Yarrowia lipolytica: one gene and its partners. The protein of the gene in region 4 purifies or fractionates together with the protein of the main gene of each other region. This does not show direct contact. Links are inferred from orthologs where the notes say so. Each region holds a gene or a part of one and is shown on either strand. Other genes may lie near its edges. The genes, in order: YALI1_C00422g, YALI1_D33229g, YALI1_B02091g and YALI1_D20768g.

Region 1 (6,480 bases), on a different chromosome or scaffold from region 4:
ACGTGACACTTTAATTAGAGAAGAGGAGACACGTGTTTGAAAGCGTGGGAGGGGGTCTGAAGAGATAAAAGCCCACATTTATCTGTTTAAACAGGTACGACAAACATTGTATCACGCGATACCCTCTCTGCTGTCCTCAATTCCTCCTAAACACTCACTTCTCCTTTCCGGCTTGCCATTGGTGGCGTGAAAGAGCCATGCCATACTACGGACAGTTGAGAATTTCGTGATGACACATTCACCAGGCACCAGGTACAACCAAACTATGTGTCAGGTACGCACGTGATAACAGTACCAACAGAAATTGTACCCATTCTGTCACAGTGTCTTCTCCTATGTCGTGATCTATATGAGCCACATTCTCTCCTACTATTCACATCAGATTATGAAAGCTGCACTGTAGCTAAAAGGTTGGGAATTTACTGTAGGAAAACTGCACATACTGTAGAGAGCTGGGAGGAAGAGATATCAAATAATATAGCTTAAATCAACATGTGGAGATCTACTACTTTATAAGAACAATACCGTACAAGTGCACAAGTACATAGTTGCAGTCATGTTACAGCATCTGGACGACCTCAAAGTCAGTGTCTACCCAATCAGGAACACCCTAACCCTCCATATCCTTGTCGCCGCGTACATATTAAACTCTGGCCGGGTAAGTGGCATCTTGCCGGGGAAAAGGGTTTGAAAGATTCTTGTACAGAACTTCTCCCATTGGCCAGAACCCTAAAATGCGGTTAGGGCACCTCAGGCTAACAAATGTGGCTATCGCCCAAACTCCTCCTCCTCTAGCCAGACAAAGTACCCGCCCCTGACCTCTTGTTTGGCAACCACTGTCGCTTCAAAGTCACGCGTCTCGTCGACGAGATGAACACGCACCGCAGACACACTGTGGCATTGGTCTGCGCCTGTGCCACGCCCGCTGGACACTACACTACGGCGCTGTCCTGGTCACGTCCTGTCTGTGTCCCCGCCATCTCCTAGGCCCTGTGGTATCATATCCAAATATGCTTTGGACGTGTATCGGGGCGTTTTTGGAGTGTGGCTACGGCGTCAGAGAGCTCGTGGCACCGTCTAGGACCTACAGAGGTGCTCTAGGGCGTCGCACAAGGGCTGGGTCGCCCGGATCATCGCAGCCATGGTGCCCACACGCGTGCTCATGTACTCTGCTGCTCACCTCCGTGACTGACATCGCCAGACGCGTCACCTGGCGGAAGAACTCTTGGTGTGAAGCTTTGTAAACACAGGGCGTGAAGCTCTGTCTACCGCTGTGGTGACTCCTTACGTAGAATCTCGGGGACAACCATGACGATGTTGTGATTGTGTCTCCGCCGTAACTTTTCATGTCCTTACTCTGTATCTTTCATAGCGCAATTCATTCCACTCTCCCACAAACAATAACCCGTACCATCCCCACTGTTTCTGCATATACACATTACTGTGTTGCTGTCGTCACGCTCTTTTTTTTTGCCGACATTTTCTCTTCATCCATCGCTCACAGAACCGCGCAACAGCACAACGGAGAAGGAACCAGAGACTTGATCACGTCTCTTTTCCTCACACAAAAGCACAACCACGACGCCAGAAACACAGACAGAAGGTCATCAACCCCTCTGCATTTTCCCCGCCGCCCACAGCGTTTGATATACGTCCATTAGCAGGTTGTGGTAACAATGGTGAGTACACTGGACTGAAGATGGCATGGTGGAGAATAAGTGGGTGATAACTGTCACAAAGAGATGGTAGAGACAGGCTACGATGCTCTATCTACCCACAAAAGTCACCATGTTGCTGTTACTAACCCTAGAACCCCGACTTCAACGACGACCCCGAGCTCTATGGGCTGCGACGGTCCCGGAGATCAGCGGTGACTACGGCCAACGAGGCCCGCAAGAGATACGTCGACTATTCGTCGTCGGAAGAGGACGTGCCCAAACGTCCCCAGAGAAAGAAGCAGGCCAAAAAGAGCAACGGAATCGTCCTCTCCGACGAGAGCGAAATGTCTCTGGATGATGAGGAATCAGAGGAGGACGATGAGGACTCTGAGGAGGACGACTACGCACCGACCAAGAAGGCTAAGAAATCGTCTTCTTCCAGACGCAAGGGTGGACGAAACAAGTCGTCTGCCCGAGAGCCGTCCCCCGACTACCAGAACCTGCGGTTCTCGTCTCGTAACGCCAAGGTGGTCAACTACAATATTGACCATGACGATGACGAATTTCTGGAGGACGAGGATGAGGACGCTCTGCAGGACGCATACGGTGATGCCGCTGCTAATGACACATACGACTACGCCACCACCACGTCCACCGAGGCGGTGGATATGGTGCTGGACCATCGTCGAAAAGAAGGCGACGACGACTCGCAGATTACAGATCTGTTTGACGCCAAGCGACACCTCGAGTTCTACATCAAGTGGCAGAACTACTCGCATCTGCACAACACGTGGGAGACGTACGATTCGCTGGCCGGCTTCAAGGGAATCAAGCGAGTCGATAATTACATCAAGCTCAACGTGCTGGAGTATGCAGAGCTGCAGCGAGATGCATCCCCCGAGGATATCGAGGCCATGGAGCTGCGACGCGAGCGCGAACAGGAGGAGTACGCTGAGTATAAACTTGTTGAGCGAATCATTGCATCAGATCGTGTCGCTGTCGACAATGGAGCCACTCAGTTGCAGTATCTCGTAAAGTGGAAGCGACTCAACTACTCGGACGCCACCTGGGAAGATGCCGAGGAGATCGCCAAGATTGCCGAGGACGAAGTCGAGCGGTTCCAGGACCGGCTCAACTCGAAAATCAATCCCAGCCAGAGCGCAGTCTACCCTGCCAACTCACGTCCTCCGTTTGAGAAGCTTACCGAGCAGCCTGGCTTCATCAAGGGTGGTGAACTTCGAGACTTCCAGCTGACCGGAATCAACTGGATGGCCTTCTTGTGGTCTCGAAACGAAAACGGTATTCTTGCCGACGAAATGGGACTCGGTAAAACCGTCCAAACCGTTGCATTTCTCTCATGGCTTGTGTACGCTCGAAAGCAGCACGGGCCCCACCTGGTGGTAGTTCCTCTGTCTACTGTGCCTGCCTGGCAGGAGACCTTTGAGTTCTGGGCGCCTGGTATCAACTACCTCGCATATCTCGGCAACACCGAGTCTCGAAAAGCACTTCGTGACCACGAATTCTACAACAAAACTGGTAACAAGAAACCCAAGTTCAATGTTCTTCTGACCACCTACGAGTACATTCTTAAGGACCGAGCCGAGCTGGGGTCCATCAAGTGGCAGTACCTGGCTGTTGACGAGGCCCACCGTCTCAAGAACGCCGAGTCAGCTCTCTACGAGTCTCTCAAGGAGTTCCGAGTCGCAAATAGACTGCTCATCACCGGTACTCCGCTGCAGAACAACATCAAGGAGCTGGCTGCTCTGGTTGACTTCCTGATGCCTGGCAAGCTCACCATCGATCTGGAAATTAATTTTGAGAACCCTGACGAAGAGCAGGAGGGTTACATTCGTGAGCTTCATAAGCGCCTGCAGCCTTTCATCTTGCGTCGACTCAAGAAGGATGTCGAGAAATCACTGCCCTCTAAGACAGAGCGAATTCTGCGAGTCGAAATGTCCGACATGCAGCAGGATTACTACAAGAACATCATTTCCAAAAACTACACGGCTCTGAACGCCGGAGCCACCGGAGGTCACCAGATGTCACTTCTCAACATCATGACGGAGCTCAAGAAGGCCTCCAACCATCCGTACCTGTTCCCCACTGCCGAGAGCAAGTTCCTCAGCTTGGCTGAGAACGGCGCTTCTCGAGAAAACGTCTTCCGAGGCATGATTATGACCTCTGGTAAGATGGTTCTTCTCGATAAGCTGCTCACTCAGCTGAAAAAGGACGGTCATCGAGTTCTGATTTTCTCCCAGATGGTTCGAATGCTCGACATTTTAGGCGATTATTTGCAGATTAAGGGCTACCAATTCCAGCGTCTGGATGGTACTGTCCCCTCTGCCACCCGTCGAATTGCAATTGACCATTACAATGCCCCTGACAGTAACGACTTCGTCTTCTTGCTGTCCACTCGAGCTGGAGGTTTGGGTATCAACCTGATGACGGCCGATACAGTCATCATTTTTGATTCGGATTGGAACCCCCAGGCTGATCTGCAGGCCATGGCTCGAGCCCATCGAATCGGTCAGAAGAACCACGTGATGGTCTATCGATTTGTGTCCAAGGACACTGTTGAAGAGCAGGTTCTCGAGCGTGCCAGAAAGAAGATGATTTTGGAGTACGCCATCATCTCCCTTGGTATCACCGACAAGGGTTCTTCCAACAACAAAAAGACTGAGCCGTCGACCTCGGAGCTGTCTGAGATCCTAAAGTTTGGCGCCGGAAATATGTTCAAGGCCAACGATAACCAGGACAAGCTGGAGAACATGAACCTAGACGATGTTCTGAACCACGCAGAGGACCATATCACCACTCCTGATCTCGGCGAGAGTCATCTTGGCGGCGAGGAGTTCCTTAAGCAGTTTGAGGTCACTGACTACAAGGCCGATGTTGATTGGGACGACATTATCCCTGCCAACGAGCTCGCCAAGATCAAGGCTGACGATCTGCGTCGAAAGGACGAGGAGTACGTCAAGGAACAGATGGATCTAATGAATCGACGTCGAGCTGCCTCTCAGCGTGCCTCCACTGCTGCTCTTGAGTCCTCTGACGAAAATGAGGAGAGTGGAGGGCGGCGTGTGGTCAAGCGCAAGAAGGAGGACAAGTTCCTCAACGAGCGGGAGATCAGAGGTTTGTACCGAACAATTCTACGTTACGGCGACGTCTCCGTCATGTGGGATAAGCTTTTCAACGACGGTACTTTGCCCCAGCGAAAGTCCGATCTCATCAAGGAAGCCTACTTTGACCTCATTGACCAGAGTAAGCGGGAGGTTGAGGAGCGAGAAAAGCAGATCAAGGAAGAGGCTGAAGCTGCTGCCGCTGCTGCGGCAAAGGCTGCTGCTTCTCGAGGCGGTGGAGATACTGCCCTGGACGAGAAGAAGCCCTCCAACACCAAAAAGGCCGTTCTTTTCACCTTCCAGGGCGTCAAGAACATCAACGCCGAACTGCTCATCTCACGACCAGCCGACATGAAGCTCATTCGAAGCCAGGTGACGGACACTTTCAAGTTCGACGAACCTCTCAAGAGTGTGCATGGCTGGAACTGTGAGTGGGACGAGGACTGTGACGCTCGTCTGCTCATTGGTACCAAGAAGTACGGTTATGGAGCCTGGACCTTCATTCGAGACGATCCACGTCTCAAATTTGGAGACAAGTTCTACCTTGAGGAGCACCGAGTTGACAAGAAGGAGGCTCGAGAGAAGACTGGAGCCAAGGTTCCTGGTGCCGTTCACCTCGGTCGTCGAGTTGACTACCTCATCTCTGTTCTCAAGGGCGAGGCTGTTCACACCAACAACGATGGCAACAAGAAGCGAATTGCCATCAAGGAGCGTGTTCGAAAGAGCGAATCTCCCGCAGTGTCCACTCCTCAACCTCCCAAGAAGGCTGCTATCAAGCGAGATCCTTCCATCAAGCGAGATCCTTCCATCAAGCGAGAGACTCCCAAGCGAGAGACTCCTGTCCCCAAGAAGATTCCTGGACCTCCCACGGCTGACGACTACTCAGACTATGAGTCAATGGACGATGAGGCGTGTCGAACGACTCTCAAACCTGTCAAGGCGTCTCTGAAGCGCCTCAAGAAGGGCGAGGATGGTTTGGACAAGAAGGCCTGGCTGGAGGTCCTCAAGAAGGAGCTGTCCACGGTGGGCCACCACATCGACTCCGAAGCCCAGAAGGTCTCTGATAAGAAGCGGGAGAAGACTCTCAAGCATCTGTGGGCGTTTGCATCCTTCTTCTGGCCCAGCAGAGTCAAGAGTAACCGTATCCGGGCAATGTACGAGAAGGTCAGCGGAGCCGCCAAAAAGTAGACTTCCAAAGTCTACTGTAACGCATCATGTAATCATATTAAAGTAATCAATATTTGTATTTTATATCGGTGTGACTAGCTCTCGTAAGCCGGTAGTGGTGGTTGCTTCTCAGGTAAGGAGGCCACGGATCGTACTGGCAATGGCAAACTTGGATCAGTGTCGTTGCTTAGAGCGTTTTCTCGATGGAAGATCGTCACAGGAGTGCTGATATTATGGTCGAAGAATCGTCTTCTCTTAATGTTACCTTGGGTCTCCAGTAACGAGAATCTCAGCGTGCTCTGGAGAGAGTGTGAGGTGGGCGCTGGATGGCTTGTCTTTGTGGTTGGGTTGATGTGGTCTGTGAATTTCCTCAGCGAAAACTTGTAGTTTAGATCTGTGTGGTCTGAGCCGTAGTCGAGAAGATTTCCCTTGCAACATGTGTCCAGAAAGTGTTGTTTGTACTCGTAGCCGCTCTCTTCAATCTCCTTGAGTTCGTTTTCATGCTGTTCAAGCAGATCAGGCGTCATGTAATGTTG
Region 2 (4,046 bases), about 1.2 Mb from region 4:
GTGTTGGTTGTTCTGCTTCTGGCAGCCGACTTTTGGAACGTCAAAAACATTGCCGGACGGCTCATGGTGGGCCTGAGATGGTGGAACGAGGCGTCGGAGACGGGCGAGTCCGTGTGGGTGTTCGAGACGGCCGATCCCCAGCGGTACATAAATCCCATTGACTCCAAGGTCTTTTGGATGATGCTGTATGGCGCCCCTGTCTTGTGGGTGTGTTTGGCGGTTCTGGCGCTGCTCAAGTTCCAGTTTCTGTCTCTGATTCTGGTCTTTATTGCTGTGTCTCTGACCGTCACTAACGCCATGGCCTACTCTCGATGTGACAAGTTTGGCAAGGCCAATAACATTGTTGGCCAGGTCAGCGGCGGTCTCTTGTCTAGAGCTGCCAGAGGTACCTTCCTTGGGCGGTTCATGTAACTGATGCGGGTTTCCGCGGTGAATTCCACCCGCCACTGTCAAAGATATATATATTAATGAATTACGACTGGAAACGAATGCTCAGAGGCTTTGGCACTCAAAAAAAACAATAAATTCCTATATACAATGCGATTTTGGAAGGTACCGCTGCTATAGTGACAAGCTCCCGGTCTGTTACTCATCCTTCCGGAGGTCGTTAGCAACAGCCTGGTTGATCTTCTGATGCTCCTTGAGCACCAGAGCCTGGGCCTCCCGCTCAATGTCGCCCTGCTCGTTGAAATAGTCGGTGATCTTCATACCGCCGTAGGCCAAGATGCCAGTAAAAGCCGCAGCGATGATTCGTTGCGATGGGGGGATCTGCATCCACCGCTGGTAGAGGGACACTGCGTTAGTACGGAAATGAGCACTGAGGGGTGGAATACTGGAGGACTGTTCCAGATTTGGTCCGGTTACGCTTCGTTAACGACGGAATGGCCCATTCTGCCAGCTCCAGCTATATGGTCCTTTCCAGTTTCCCGTCAGTCTAGTAGAATCAGGTCCATCTCGACTATGGAGCTTTGGACAGACCGGAGCAGTTCAGAATAGTGAGGCAGCCAGCAGAAGAGGAACAGCAGAAGAGGAACATCAGGATCAAACTGAGTCTGAATTCTGCCCACGAGATACGTGGCTCAAGTTAAGTTCTGTCTGTTCTGTCTGTTCTGTCTGTTCTGATGCCCTACCACGGTACAGCCATGTCAGAGTCGATTAATCGGCCCAGATGTGCAAGTGGAAAGCAACTGTTGATAATGCACACGTACTCAACTTAGAGATGTACACATACTCATTCACACTTACTCAGTCACACGTCATCAGTCGTATTCAGTCTGTCTTTTCATCTTGACTTCAGTTCACTCTCTCTCAATACACAGAGATACCGTTCCTTCTGCGTGACTTCTATATCACATCTCCTCGTCTTCTCCCCTTCTCCCCTCCTTTCCCCTTCTCCCCTCCTCTCCCCTCCTCGCCTTGTCACACTCACTGTTTGCGTCGCTAGTTTGCGTCTGGTGAACCAATTGACGCTTCCACTTCCCTGCTTCACTTGGGGAGGTTGGGATATTCAGGGTTAGGGTTTTTCATTAAGTGCATATTTAGTACATAACTAGCAAGGAGTGTAGATGGAAGTAACAATAATGAGGACCCAGTGTAGAATGGCTTGGGGCGGAGATATCGTCAAAATGATACTTTCACGTGACTCCCTAACGCCTATTACCCCTCAATCCGCCTCCAAACTTGGAATTTGGTGGACCCTCGGGGCTACAGCGATACCCCGCTTCTCTTGTCCTCTCCCCCATCCTCCTCCCTCCTCTTCTTAGGTCACGTGACCACGCGTTTAACTTTCTGGCAGAGTCCAAATCACCATACATACATTACCGGCACGTCGAAGCGCCATCGTCATCGTTCACACATTTACAGCACAGTACGCAAAAAAAAACACGATGTCTACGACTGAATTCGACGGCATCTATCTCAATCAGAGCAAGGCGCACGGCCGTCTGCGGATGGTTGAGACGGGCCTGGGCTGGAAGGCAGTGCAGAAGACGTCAATGGGCGGATCGAAGGAGACCAAGAAGGACGAGCCGTTTCTACTTGGAAAGGAGGAGCTGCTGGCGGCGTTTTGGAGTCGGGGCTCTCGGGGATTCGAGATGAAGATCCAGACGAAAAACCGCGGGGCCGCCAACTTTGACGGGTTTGAACAGGACAACCTGGAGGAGCTGAAGAACGTGATGAAGCGCAACTATGGCATTTCAGTGGAGCAGCGCGAGCACAGCGTCAAGGGTTGGAACTGGGGCAAGACGGACTTTGAGCGATCCGAGCTGGTTTTTTCCGTCGCCAACAAGCCCGCATTCGAGATCCCCTACGCCGAAGTGGCCAACTCCAACCTGGTGGGCAAAAATGAGGTTGCTCTGGAGTTCCAGCAGCCCGCCGATGGACGGGCAGGCGACGAGCTCGTCGAAATGCGATTCTACGTGCCCGGAGTAACTTCTGTGGAAGGTGATGAGAACCCCAAGAAGAAGCAGAAGACGGAGAAGAAGGAGGGAGAAGAAGGCAAGGAAGGAGACGACGACGCCGACGCCGACGACGAATCAGAAGAGGAGGTCCAGTCCACCGCCCAGATCTTCTACGACACCCTCAAGGAAAAGGCCGACATTGGAGCCGTGGCAGGTACGGCTGTGGTGTCTTTGTCGGAGATCTACCTGGTCATCCCCCGAGGACGATACGATATCGACATGTACGCCAACTTCATGCGACTTCGAGGAAAAACATACGATTACATGGTGCAGTACAAGCACGTGCAGCGGCTCATTGTGCTGCCCAAGCCCGACGATCTGCACAACATTCTCGTGGTGCAGCTGGATCCTCCTCTCAGACAGGGCCAGACTCGGTACCCGTTTCTGGTGATGCAATTCCTGCGTGAGGCCGAAATCAAAGTCGAGCTCAATGTCGACGACGCCGAGTTTGCCGAAAAGTACGCCGACAAGGGTCTCAAGCAGTCGTACGACGAGTCTGCTCACCAGGTGGTTGGATCTATTTTCCGCGGTCTCACTGGCCGAAAACTGACCGTGCCAGGCTCGTTCAAGACCGTGCATGGCCATGCTGGTGTCTCCTGTTCGCTCAAGGCGTCTGAGGGCCATCTATACCCCCTGGAACGAAATTTCCTGTTTCTTTCCAAGCCCGTTTTCATTCCCTTTGCCGAGATTCAAGATATCACTCTGTCTCGAGTGGGTTCTTCGGTAACCACCTCTCGAACGTTTGACATGACTCTCAAGCTGCGAAACGCCCAGGGTGAGTACCAGTTCTCCAACATCTCCAAGGAAGAGCAGGAGGGTCTCGAGGCGTTCATCAAGTCCAAGGGCATTCGTCTTAAGAATGATCTTGCTGAGGAGAAGGCGCTGCTGGCTGCCACTCTGGCTGAGGTGGACGATGACTCTGATGATGGAGGAGAGTTTCGAGGCTCGGCTGATGAGGATGACGAGAGTCCTGATGAGGACTTTCATGCCGAGAGTGATAGTGAGGTGGCGGAGGAGTTTGACTCGAATGCCGAGAGCAGTTCGGGAGAGGAGGATGACGAGTGATTCCGGCGCGGCTTCGCGCGTCGCGGGAAATTGCTTGTTGGGTAACAATAGCAGCTCCGGACGAAGCAAACTCGTATCTGATTCGAGACAGATTCAAGAGTGCAAAAGTCTCACAAGGAATTTGCTACTGGTAGATATATGAATTAATGTTGATTAGGTGGATGTATTTGAATGGGACACATTCAGTTGGTAAGAATGTATTATCTGAGCTGCTCTGGAGTCTTGAGTGACAGATATTTTGTTTGAATTGGACCATTGTTAGTGTACTGTGCATTTCTGGAGCTCTGAAGTAACTATTACTTGAGGCCCACTCCAAAGTCAACAAAATCAGCACTCGTATTTCGCGTTGAAATGTGGATATCTCAAATATCTGTACTGCCAATATCTTGAAGATGAATATTAGTTGATTAGTTGATGCTTTTAAACCAATTCACACAAGTCTTGCGATTTCATTGGTCCCGTGACACCGAGAAGTGACCCACAGCGGGAATTCCTTTCAACAAATGTCAACAAAATCTGTTA
Region 3 (7,108 bases), on a different chromosome or scaffold from region 4:
CGGCGGCGTGTTCCTTTAGCGTGAGCAGACCACGAGTACGTCTAGTGGCATGGGCGACACGATCTTCCGGCAAATGGCCTAGGACAGTTGAGGTACTTCTTCATTGGCGATTCCTTTGTATCGGGCAAATCTCGACTTAGGAGCCATCAGGTGAAGACGGCAACTCAGCTGCAGCATGTGTAGCGGATTGTCACCTCTGTAGTTCTTAGTTAGAAACTGGTTGGCCTTGAGACAGGTTCGTTTCAACCGTGATTCCAACGTCATTCCAACGTGATTCCAACGTCATTTCAACGTGATCCAACGTGATCCAACGTGATCCAACGTGATCCAACGTGAGTCGTTCTTCATAAACTGGTCACGCCAACTGTCCTGGACAAGGACATGTTCAGCATCCAGGCCGTGGGGTGGCGTTTGAGGCCAAAGAGAGCATACTGACGAAGAGCTTTCAGCTTTCGATAATATTCTCACGTAGTTCTTTTCCACGTTGTCCTTGGAGTTGAAATGAATACCCGGGTACTGTACAGTAGCACTCAGGGATGGCGGTGAATTGGCAAAGATGCCAATAGTGTGCGTTCAAGAATAACATCAGATAGCGAGACTAGTTGCTGGGGAGACTCGACACGCGGGATAACAGCTCTGGTCGGATTGAGACACTTTGAGGAGTTCTGTGGGGTCCTCATCCTTTGGTGTAGGAGGATCACGAAAGGTTTCATTGAGTGCCTATTCAAAGAAAGAGGCCCCAAAAGAGACCTTGAACTGAGTCCAAAAACCCGACATGGAGCTTGTAGATGAAGCGGTCATGCCTGGAGCGCATTCGTTTTGTTTTTTGAGGCCTTGAAGGCATACCGGCTCACAAACTCTTAAGCCCCGGGGTTGTCGCATTCGGCCCGGAGACAAACAGCTTTCTGGAGTCCGACTGGATGGGCTCCGTAGAGAGATTCTCAGGTCAAACGACTGTCAACCATCCCTCAGTCGGGGAAGATACTCTGGGGAGTATATGATGTTCTCTCCAGGTGCCTTTTCTGACGAGCCCTGGCTCTATGAGGGACTGAAACTTGAAGAAGCTGTACATTGATGGAGACAAATCCGATTAGAAGCTCGCCAGCTCAATAATCGCCTCGTCTGCTTGTGTGAGTGTCGTTTGGAGGTTGAGACACTGTCGTGGTGTGGATCGTACTCAGGGTCATTAGAATTGATTAAAAAATCAGGGTAGAACTTCGCTTTTTCACCGGCTATCTCATTTCATCGTAGTTGTAGTTTGAACCAAATTATTCCACACGGTATGGACTCGTACAAGTCTCTGACCTGGAAGTGTTGTTTTCTTTGTTTTTTTTTTTATTTTTTTATATTTTTCGCCAGTTTTCTAAAACGAATTTATTTTTTTATTTTATTTATTTATTTATTTTATTTTATTTTATTTAATTTTATTTAATTTATTTAATTTAATTTAATTTAATTCTATTTAATTCTATTTAATTCTATTTGAAAACTCGGTTCAAAACTCCCACTGGAAATTTTAAACTTCCTCCGACTCGGAGAGTCTATCCAGTAAATAAAAATGGGGAAAATAGACAGAATTAGGAGGCGTGTGTTTCTGTGATCACGTGATTTTCCTGGTTTTCTGTATAGTTTTTTCTGTTTATTTTTCCGTCGTCTTGATCGACCATGGTTTTGTGGTGTTTTCTTTTGGGTTTTTATTTTTATTGTTTTTATTCAGACGAATTTTTTTTTATTTTTTTTGCTCGTTATTCCCACCTCTGTTCCACGTGACCTAACCCTGAAAAACATATTGTTGTCAGCACCACCACAACACGTCAACACCAACCCACCATGTCGTCCCCCGCTAGTGCCAGCGACGTTGATTCGGTCAAGGTCAAGATGGACGAGGACGAAATCGACGTCCGTGATGACGATCGTCACGAAAACGGCGAAGACAACGACAATGACAATGAAGAGATGGATGATAGTAGTGAGGAGGAGGATGATGATGATGAGGAGGAGATTGCTAGGGTGAGTGAAGTGTCGATATGACGAGATGACGAGATGACGAGATGACGAGATGAGCGAAGCGAATCTCGAGTGGATTTGGAGAGATGAGGAATCGAATCTCGATTTGGAGAGACGAGGAATCGAATCTCGAGTGGATTTGAGATGAACTAAGCGAATCTCGATTCCATTAAAAGACTGGAGATTCGTTTCGCTCATCTCCGTAGTGCCGCGGGTCTCATCTCCATAGAGTCGCGGGTCTCATTTGATGCTGGCAATGTTCTGTCTGGTTGGTTCAGTTCAGCGGATCACCAACCACAGTTTTCATCTGAGAAATCACAGTTTTCATCTGAACAATCGCGGTTGCCATCAGGAACAATCCTAGCACAGTAAACAGATCCAAGACTCAGTCAATCGTCGTCTTAGAATTACTGGCAGTGCCAGATCCCGCTGACGACGAGATACTCGCCGTTCTATCCAGTCTCGGCACTCGACTGTCTAACCTGACACTGCGCACTACTGGAGCTGCTCCAACATAATACTAACCCAGGTCCGACAAGGCTTCATTGTGGACGACGACGAAGAGGAAGAAGAAGTGGACAAACCGAGACGAAAACTCAAGAAACGACGACGAGTGATCCCCGAAGACACCGACGACAAACCCCCCACGCCCGCCGAGAACGACCATCTCGACGAAGATGATTTGGACCTCCTCATGGAGAACACGGGCGCGCCCCGAGAACGGCACTTTAAGCGTCTCAAGCGAGCAGGCGATGACGACTCCTCCGACCGCCAGAAGGGACTCGCCGACATGTTCTCCGACGAGGAAGAACAGCCCGCGCCGGTCGAACAGCGCAACGAGTTCGACGACTTCATTGAAGACGACGAGTTCAGTGAGGATGACGCACCAACACGGGGACGTGAGTCGCAGCGAGAGTCACGTGCCACTGGCGCTCCGGCCGCGTTCCTTTCCAAGGACGTGGGCATCGATGATGACAAGCTCAACGAGATCTACGAAGTGTTTGGCGACGGAGAGGAGTACGCATGGGCCCTGGACGCGGAGGAGGACCGCGAGCGTGCCCAGGAGGAGTACGAGGACGAGGGACGTGCTGGTCCAGAGCTCAGAGACGTGTTCGAGCCGTCTGAGCTGAGAGAACGACTCCTGACCGACGAGGATAATGACATCCGGGCACGTGACGAGCCCGAGCGGTACCAGCTTCTGCGTCAGTCGATCGACAAGTACGATCTGTCGGACGAGGACTTTTCCAAGGAGTGCGAGTGGGTGGCTAGCCGTTTGAAGACCATGAAACAGGAGCATGTTCCGCCCCACCTCGATTCCGAGTACGAGACTGCGGTCTCCAAGGTACTGGAGTTCATTGCCAAGGAGAATCTCGAGGTTCCGTTCATCTGGCATCATCGTCGAGACTTTCTTACCCATGTTTCGAAACATGAAAAGTTCAAGGCCAAGGTTGAGGATGACGAGTATGAGCCGACGTTGGAGGCACCTGTGGCATCCACCACCGAAGAAACCAAGGAGATTGAGTACACAACCGTCGAGTTGCTGTCTCTGGACGACCTGTGGATGATTGTGCAGCTTGATCTCGATTACCACGGCATTGTGGAGAAACAGCAGCAGCTGGAGCGGTTGCGAACCCAAGCGGGAGTGTCCAAGACTGGAAACCATTCATTCATCAACGATTTCGCCAACTCTGCCTCGTTGCAGGACACTCAAGACGCCATTGAGTATGTGCAATTTCGGTTTTCCGGCGAGCTCGGCGATTTGCAGTCCGGGTCGTCGAAGCGACATTCTCGGTACGCCAGATACGACCGAATTCGAGCCAGCAAGCTGTATGGTCTGGTCAGACAGTTTGGTATCTCCTCCGACGAGTTTGCAGAGAACCTGGAAACCTCCACGCGTATCAACTACACAGAGGATAACGCGCGAGCTCCAGCTGACCTTGCCACCGACTATTTGAACGATTCCAGCCTGGTCCTGAGTGACGCCGCATCGGCGCTCGAGAGCGCGACTCAGATGTTTGCCATGGAGCTGGCATTTGACCCGCGGGTGCGGCGGTATGTGCGTCAGCAGTTTGCGCAGCTCGCCAAGATTGACGTGTATGCAACCGAGGCGGGTTCCAGTCAGATTGACGAAGCACACCCAGCTTACGAGTTCAAGTACTCGCGAAATCTGTCATTTGAGGAGCTCAGAAAATCGCCCAAACTGTACCTTCAGATGCTGCAGGCCGAGGCTAAGGGCCTGGTGAATGTCCGAGTGTCGTACCCTGATTTCAAAACCAAGTTCATCGATCTTCTGCTGAGTAAGCTGCAGAGCGATGGCGTGTCTGACATTGCCAGTCAATGGAACACCCAGCGACGGGCGGTGGTTCGAATTGCAATGAAGACTCTCGTTCCCATGGTCACTCGATCTATCAAGGAGGAGTTGAGGAACGACTGTGAGCGGCAACTCTTCTTTGAGCTGCGTCGCATGTTTGGCAGAAAGTTGAACCAGGCTCCTTTCAAGCCGCGAAACTACGAAAAGGGCACAGTTCCAAGAGTGTTGGCGCTTTCTGCCGGCCAGGCTGATTTTCGACGAGACGCCGTGGTTGGCGTTTTTGTCGATGAGGAAGGCCGAGTGGCTGAACGGGCCAAGCTCGGAGCTCCACAAACCCAGGAGTTCACCAACGCGCTGTCCGAGATGGTCAAGCGTCGAACTCCCGATCTTATCGCCTTCTCGGGCCAGACAGTCCAATCCCACAGACTCAAGAGCGTGATTGAAGAGGTTGTTCGAACGCAGGGTCTGGAGGCCGAGGGAGAGCCTCTGGAGGTGCGATGGGTGCAGGATGAGGTTGCCTGCCTGTTCAGAAACTCCGCCGGTGCCCTGGTGGAGTTTGCAGACTCGCCTCCTCTGGAACGGTACTGTGTGGCTCTTGCGCGGTATGTTCAGAGCCCCCTGCTGGAGTATCTTTCGCTGGGCAAGGAAATCAAGGCGATTCCCATGGTGGATTTCCAGTCGTTGATTTCTGAGGACCGCTTCTACGAGGCCGTGGACTCGACTTTTGTCGATTACGTCAATCTCGTGGGAGTCGACATCAATGAGGCCATTAGAGACGCTTACGTGGCTCGAATGCTGCCCTACATTGCTGGTTTGGGCCCCCGAAAGGCGTCTGGTCTGACTCACAAAATCCAGTCTCGTGGCTATCTCGGCACTCGTCTGGATCTCATCACCGAGAAGCTGTGTGGAAAGAATGTCTTTATGAACGTGGCTTCGTTCCTGCGTCTTCCTTACGACAAGCGATCGGTTCGTCACGAGGAGACGGAACTTCTGGACGCCACTCGAATCCATATTGAGGATTACGAACTGGCGAAAAAGATGGCTGCTGATGCCCTTGAGCTCGACGAGGAAGATCTTCTGGAGTTTGAGTCCGAGGGAGGAGTTATTGCTCAACTGATGAAGGAGGGCGCCGAGAAGCTCAACGAGCTCATTCTGGAGGGCTACGCCGAGGAACTCGAGCAGAAACTCGGCAAGAAGAAGCGGTACACTCTGGAGATGATCCGAAGAGAGCTCATCAACCACTACGAGGAGCTGCGGGAGCCGTTACACGTGCTGACCGACCTTGAGGTCTTCACTATGCTCACCGGAGAGACGGAAAAATCGCTGCATCCCGGTTCCGTCGTGGCGGTGCAGATTAGAAGAATCTCCGACAGATACCTTGCGGTGCGTCTTTCGTGCGGAATTCAGGGCAACGTGACCCAGGACCGGATCACCGACCAGCGAGGAGTGCATCCGTCGGCGCTGTTTCACCATCAACAGACGATTCGAGCGGTCGTCATGGAGGTGTCATACTCGAATTTCTCCGCAGAGTTGTCGTGTCTCCACCGAGACATTTCTGACGCGCAAAAACGAGCCCGTCAGGTGAAGAGACCGCGAGATCAATGGGACTTTGAAGCGGAGGCCGCCGACAAGTCCGCCCAGGAGGTGCGTCGTGAGGTGGAGCAGCGAAAGACTCGAGTCATCAAGCATCCTCTGTTCAAGCTCTTCTCTGGCTCCGATGCCGAAAAGTTCCTCTCTACACTTCCCCGTGGAGAGCTTGTCATCAGACCCTCGTCACGTGGCACAGATCACATTGCCGTCACGTGGAAGGTCGGTGATGGCATTTACCAGCACATTGACGTCGTGGAGCTCGGCAAGGAAAACGAGTATGCGCTTGGAAAGACTCTCATGGTCGGCACCTCCAAGTACTCCGATCTCGATGAGCTCATCGCCATGCATGTCAAGTCCATGGCTCGAAAGGTAGACGAGCTGTGCCATTCGGACAAGTACTCGGCCGACTCCATTGCCGAGACGGAGCAGAGTATGGACTCGTATCTACGAGGTGGTTCGAAACGAGCCGTGTACCGGTTTGTGCTGTCGTCCAAAAAGGCTGGCTACTTCCATTTGCTGGTTAAGACGGACCAGAAGAGTCCCATGCTTGACTGGCCCGTCAAGGTGATTCCTGGAGGCTACCAGTTGGGTGGAGAAAAGTACCCTGATGTCATGAAGCTGTGCAACGGGTTCAAGACCTTGTTCAAGAGCAAGACTCAGAGAAGATAGTTGTGTATATTAATTGATTGTTGTAATGAAAGTAATCCGAGAGCGAGTCGTAACGACGCTGTTGGATGTGTCTTGGGCTATCCATTCCTCCAAGTGTTTCGTTCGTGTACGCGCACACTTTCACATTCTAGTACTGTACTACAGAGACGTCTACAGTATCTCTTCATCCTATATCGCCCTGCAGCTGAATCATCGGACCTCTGTAGCTGGTCGCTTCGTCCTATCTTTCGAGCGAACGTCGTCCGTTATATCTCGGAAACTCCACTGCGTGCTTGAAGTTGATATTAGCTCTGGTGTCCAAACAGGACTAAAGCCCGAGTAAGATTGGTGATGGCAGATCGCTTGTCGGGTGCAACAGGCGAATATGATAAGCGATTGCGACACTTTTGCCGAACATGTCAAAGTCAGATAATCTAGTAACAAACGAAACCTCTCCTACGTCGAGGTTCCAGTTTGTTTCTGTCGCAGTTCCCACTCCTTGGCCCCCTCCATGATCAAATCAAACACGGGATCCTTCACGTCGTAGTAACT
Region 4 (3,140 bases):
TCCCCAGCTAGAAGCCACCCTGCGCTCAGCTCTGAGATGGGCTAGAGCATACTCTTAGTTCACGATGTTGACCTCTCGCTCAACTGTGAAACTTCACATTGTCTTCAGACGTCGTCAACCACCTATTTACCCTCGGCCATAATGACTGCAAAGTTGTCAACAAACTGTCATGACGATAAGTTTCTGCTCAGCCTCTTTACAGTCGCCTACATTGTCTAAGAATATTCCTTTTATTAAAGTACCGATATACACCCTTCAATGACTGTCTCTTTGAGCATGAGTTGAATTAATGTTTGGTCCAGTGGTGACAGAAATGTTGGAGTCACTGGAAGTCACTGAGTCATAGCTTAGCAAGCGCGTGTAGTGCAAGTTAGCTCATTAATACACGCGCTCAAGACTGGTTGGCGAATCGATGGGGGGGCCCATGTGTCTCACCTTTGCTCGCTCGCGGCCGTTGGTAGACGACCCAATAGAGCTGCTCGTCATCTATTCCTGCTCGCCATCTATTCCTGCTCGCCCTCTTCTCTAACTCTGACGGGCTTGAAGTAATCGTGCGCCATGGCCTCCTTGGCAGTCAGTCTCTCCTGATGGTCGTATCTCAGCAGGTTATCCAGTAAATGTATCGCTTCTTGGCTAATGTAGGCCTCGTTGTCCACGTTGACAAACTTGCTCCAGGGTCGGGCGGGGTAGGTTCCAATGTCGTCGTACTCGGCTCCGAGCTCAATATTGTACTTTTCCAGATAGTCCCAGAGCTTTTCTGTTCCCAGCACCCGTGCGATTTTCACCAGCTGGTCCGTGTTGGAGGTACCATGGAAGAAAGGCTCCTTTTTGAAAATCATGGAGGCAAACATGGCGCCGTAGGACCACAGGTCCAAGGAGTAGTCGTAGAGCTGGAAGTCGACCAGCAGCTCGGGTCCCTTGAAGTACCGCGAGGCCACTCTGACGTTGTATTCGGTGCCCGCGTGGTAGAACTCGGCCAAGCCCCAGTCAATGAGGCGCAGCTTGCGCTTCTCGTGGTCAATCATGACATTGTGTGGCTTCACGTCCCGGTGCATGATGCCCTTGGAGTGGCTGTAGTCGATGGCCTTTAGCAGCTCGTACATGTAGTAGCGAATGTCATAGTCTGTGAATTTGGGGTACAGCGCCCGGAAGTCGAGGTTCTGCACGTGTTCGAAGATGAAGGCCGGCATTTTGCTCTGCGGGTCTCGCACCGTTTCCAGCAGCGAGATGATGTTGGGTCCTCCTGCGAGATTTTGCAGAATCTTGACTTCTCGCTTGATCTTCTTGCGCTTGACGGGCTTGAGCGCCTTGATCACCACCAGCTCTTTGGACACAATGTTGATGCCCTCAAACACCTCCGAGTATTTGCCTCGGCCGATTTTCTTGATGATTTCGTAGTTGTCCTGCTGACCCCATTTGAGCGCCAGCTTGTCGTAGTCCCAGTACGATGGCGGCATCAGGTTGTTCACGTCCGCGTACACTCGGGCCACCGACTCGGCGGCGATATCGGAATCCACGTCCATGATGAGTCTTTAGACGAATGAGGAATGAGGAAAATGTGTCGATGGAGACAGAGACAATTCACAGTCGTTGATGGGTGGGTGGGTGTATGAGGATGGGTATTGGGAGGAGTGTGGCAAACCTTATTTCACATAGACTCTTCTGTGAGTAAGAAAAATGGAGATTGTCACCAGGAACAGAGGCAGTCCGACCTGAACAAGACCCTCGAAAACGACATACAGTGTGCCACTTTGATCATGGACGCCTTGGTCAACCAATACATGGCCGCTACGGGCAACGCCGCAGGTATCGCTGATTGTGAGTATCCAGCTTGGAGTTTACGGTGGAGGGAGTGTGCGACAAAGGTGTGATGGACTATAGATCCACGACCCGACGGAGATAGAGACTGGATAGTGGTAGGAGGGAAGAAGGAATGGGAATCGACTTTTGGACACGTGTTTATAATTCTGGATGTTGTTGCCGCGGCTTTTTCGCCGCAGATGTGGCGGTGGCGGTGGTGGTAGTGGTGGTGGTGTGTTCTCTGCCTTATGATCCATCTAGGTCTAGACCAGAAGATGATCGAGATTTGATAGAGATGGGCTAAGTCGATGAAGGATGAACCGTTGACAGGGAAACATGTGCTTTGGTTGCTTTTCTTCTTTCTTTATGGTCGGGAAGTTGTGGTTCAGCTGTTATCTGAGTCATGCGGGGTAAGATATGATCTGAGGTGATCTAGACCGGTCCATGGATTGACTGGGTTGGTTTGGGTGTCTGTTTGGTGTCTGTTCGGTGCCTGTTTGGTGTCTGTTCGGCGCCTGTTTGGGTGCCTTCCAGTGGCAAGTGGTAATATCGTCTCTCTGGTGCCCTACCCTCGTATCTTGATCATCATCTCCTCCCACTATGCCCCGTCTCTTCCTTCCCTACAACTACCGCTTCATGCTAACACAGTGATCACCACGGACCAGGCTAAACTGGTCGATCTCGTGCAGCTGCTCGGAGAATACCTCGTTGACGAGTCTGCCAAAACCCGACAGACCGCCATCCAATGCATCTCTGACGTGCTCAAAGATCTGCCTACTGACAAACTGACCAAGCAGCAACTCACTGTCATCTGCGAGTTTCTCAGCGAACGTCTGGCCGACGAGCCCGTCACGGGCCAGGTTCTCGACGGCATGAACGCCGTGGTCACCATGTCGGCCATCAGCTCTCTGAGCGTCAAAAAAATCGTGGACAGCCTCGTCGGCTACTACCTGCCCTCTTCACATGTGCAGGTGGTCAGATACAAGGCCTACGTTCTACTCCGATACTTGACTGAGAATAAGAGCCAGTCGCTCAAAAGCACTGCTTCAGCCCAGGAAGGCTTCATCAAGTGTTTCCTGACCTGCACCAACGGCGAGAAGGACCCCCGAAACCTGCTGGAGTCCTTTGCTATCAACGAGTGGATCAGCAACAACCTGACTGTGCCTGAAAACGACGTGGAGCCGCAGTTTGACGCCACCTTCTGCTACTTCCCCATCACCTTTAGACCCCCCAAAAATGACCCCTACAAGATCACAGCTGATCAGCTAAAGGTGGCGCTCAGAACCGCTCTGGCGGCCGGAAAACAGTACTCCAAACTCATCTTCCCCGCACTGCTGGAA

Evidence for each region.
Region 1: the proteins of YALI1_D20768g (region 4) and YALI1_C00422g purify together in Saccharomyces cerevisiae (affinity purification with mass spectrometry; 7 studies listed by BioGRID). This does not show direct contact. The link is inferred for Yarrowia lipolytica from reciprocal best matches to the Saccharomyces cerevisiae genes CKA1 and CHD1.
Region 2: the proteins of YALI1_D20768g (region 4) and YALI1_D33229g purify together in Saccharomyces cerevisiae (affinity purification with mass spectrometry; 5 studies listed by BioGRID). This does not show direct contact. The link is inferred for Yarrowia lipolytica from reciprocal best matches to the Saccharomyces cerevisiae genes CKA1 and POB3.
Region 3: the proteins of YALI1_D20768g (region 4) and YALI1_B02091g purify together in Saccharomyces cerevisiae (affinity purification with mass spectrometry; 3 studies listed by BioGRID, with this or other methods). This does not show direct contact. The link is inferred for Yarrowia lipolytica from reciprocal best matches to the Saccharomyces cerevisiae genes CKA1 and SPT6.

What each region holds. Positions count from the first base shown.
Region 1 is NC_090772.1:37,612-44,091, reverse strand, and holds YALI1_C00422g (uncharacterized protein), read left to right. Parts: upstream 1-1,676; coding exon 1,677-1,679; intron 1,680-1,810; coding exon 1,811-5,965; downstream 5,966-6,480. Other genes in the region: YALI1_C00368g (uncharacterized protein), read right to left, coding at 6,040-6,480. UniProt on the Saccharomyces cerevisiae protein: ATP-dependent chromatin-remodeling factor which functions as substrate recognition component of the transcription regulatory histone acetylation (HAT) complexes SAGA and SLIK. It recognizes H3K4me.
Region 2 is NC_090773.1:3,320,993-3,325,038, forward strand, and holds YALI1_D33229g (uncharacterized protein), read left to right. Parts: upstream 1-1,886; coding exon 1,887-3,524; downstream 3,525-4,046. Other genes in the region: YALI1_D33207g (uncharacterized protein), read left to right, coding at 1-411. UniProt on the Saccharomyces cerevisiae protein: Component of the FACT complex, a general chromatin factor that acts to reorganize nucleosomes. The FACT complex is involved in multiple processes that require DNA as a template such as mRNA elongation, DNA replication and DNA repair.
Region 3 is NC_090771.1:207,330-214,437, forward strand, and holds YALI1_B02091g (uncharacterized protein), read left to right. Parts: upstream 1-1,830; coding exon 1,831-2,010; intron 2,011-2,536; coding exon 2,537-6,577; downstream 6,578-7,108. Other genes in the region: YALI1_B02073g (uncharacterized protein), read right to left, coding at 1-41, 86-264; YALI1_B02082g (uncharacterized protein), read right to left, coding at 721-916, 963-1,072; YALI1_B02149g (uncharacterized protein), read right to left, coding at 7,013-7,108. UniProt on the Saccharomyces cerevisiae protein: Histone H3-H4 chaperone that plays a role in maintenance of chromatin structure during RNA polymerase II transcription elongation thereby repressing transcription initiation from cryptic promoters.
Region 4 is NC_090773.1:2,075,174-2,078,313, reverse strand, and holds YALI1_D20768g (uncharacterized protein), read right to left. Parts: upstream 1,524-3,140; coding exon 504-1,523; downstream 1-503. Other genes in the region: YALI1_D20784g (uncharacterized protein), read left to right, coding at 1-58; YALI1_D20758g (uncharacterized protein), read left to right, coding at 1,758-1,818, 2,449-3,140.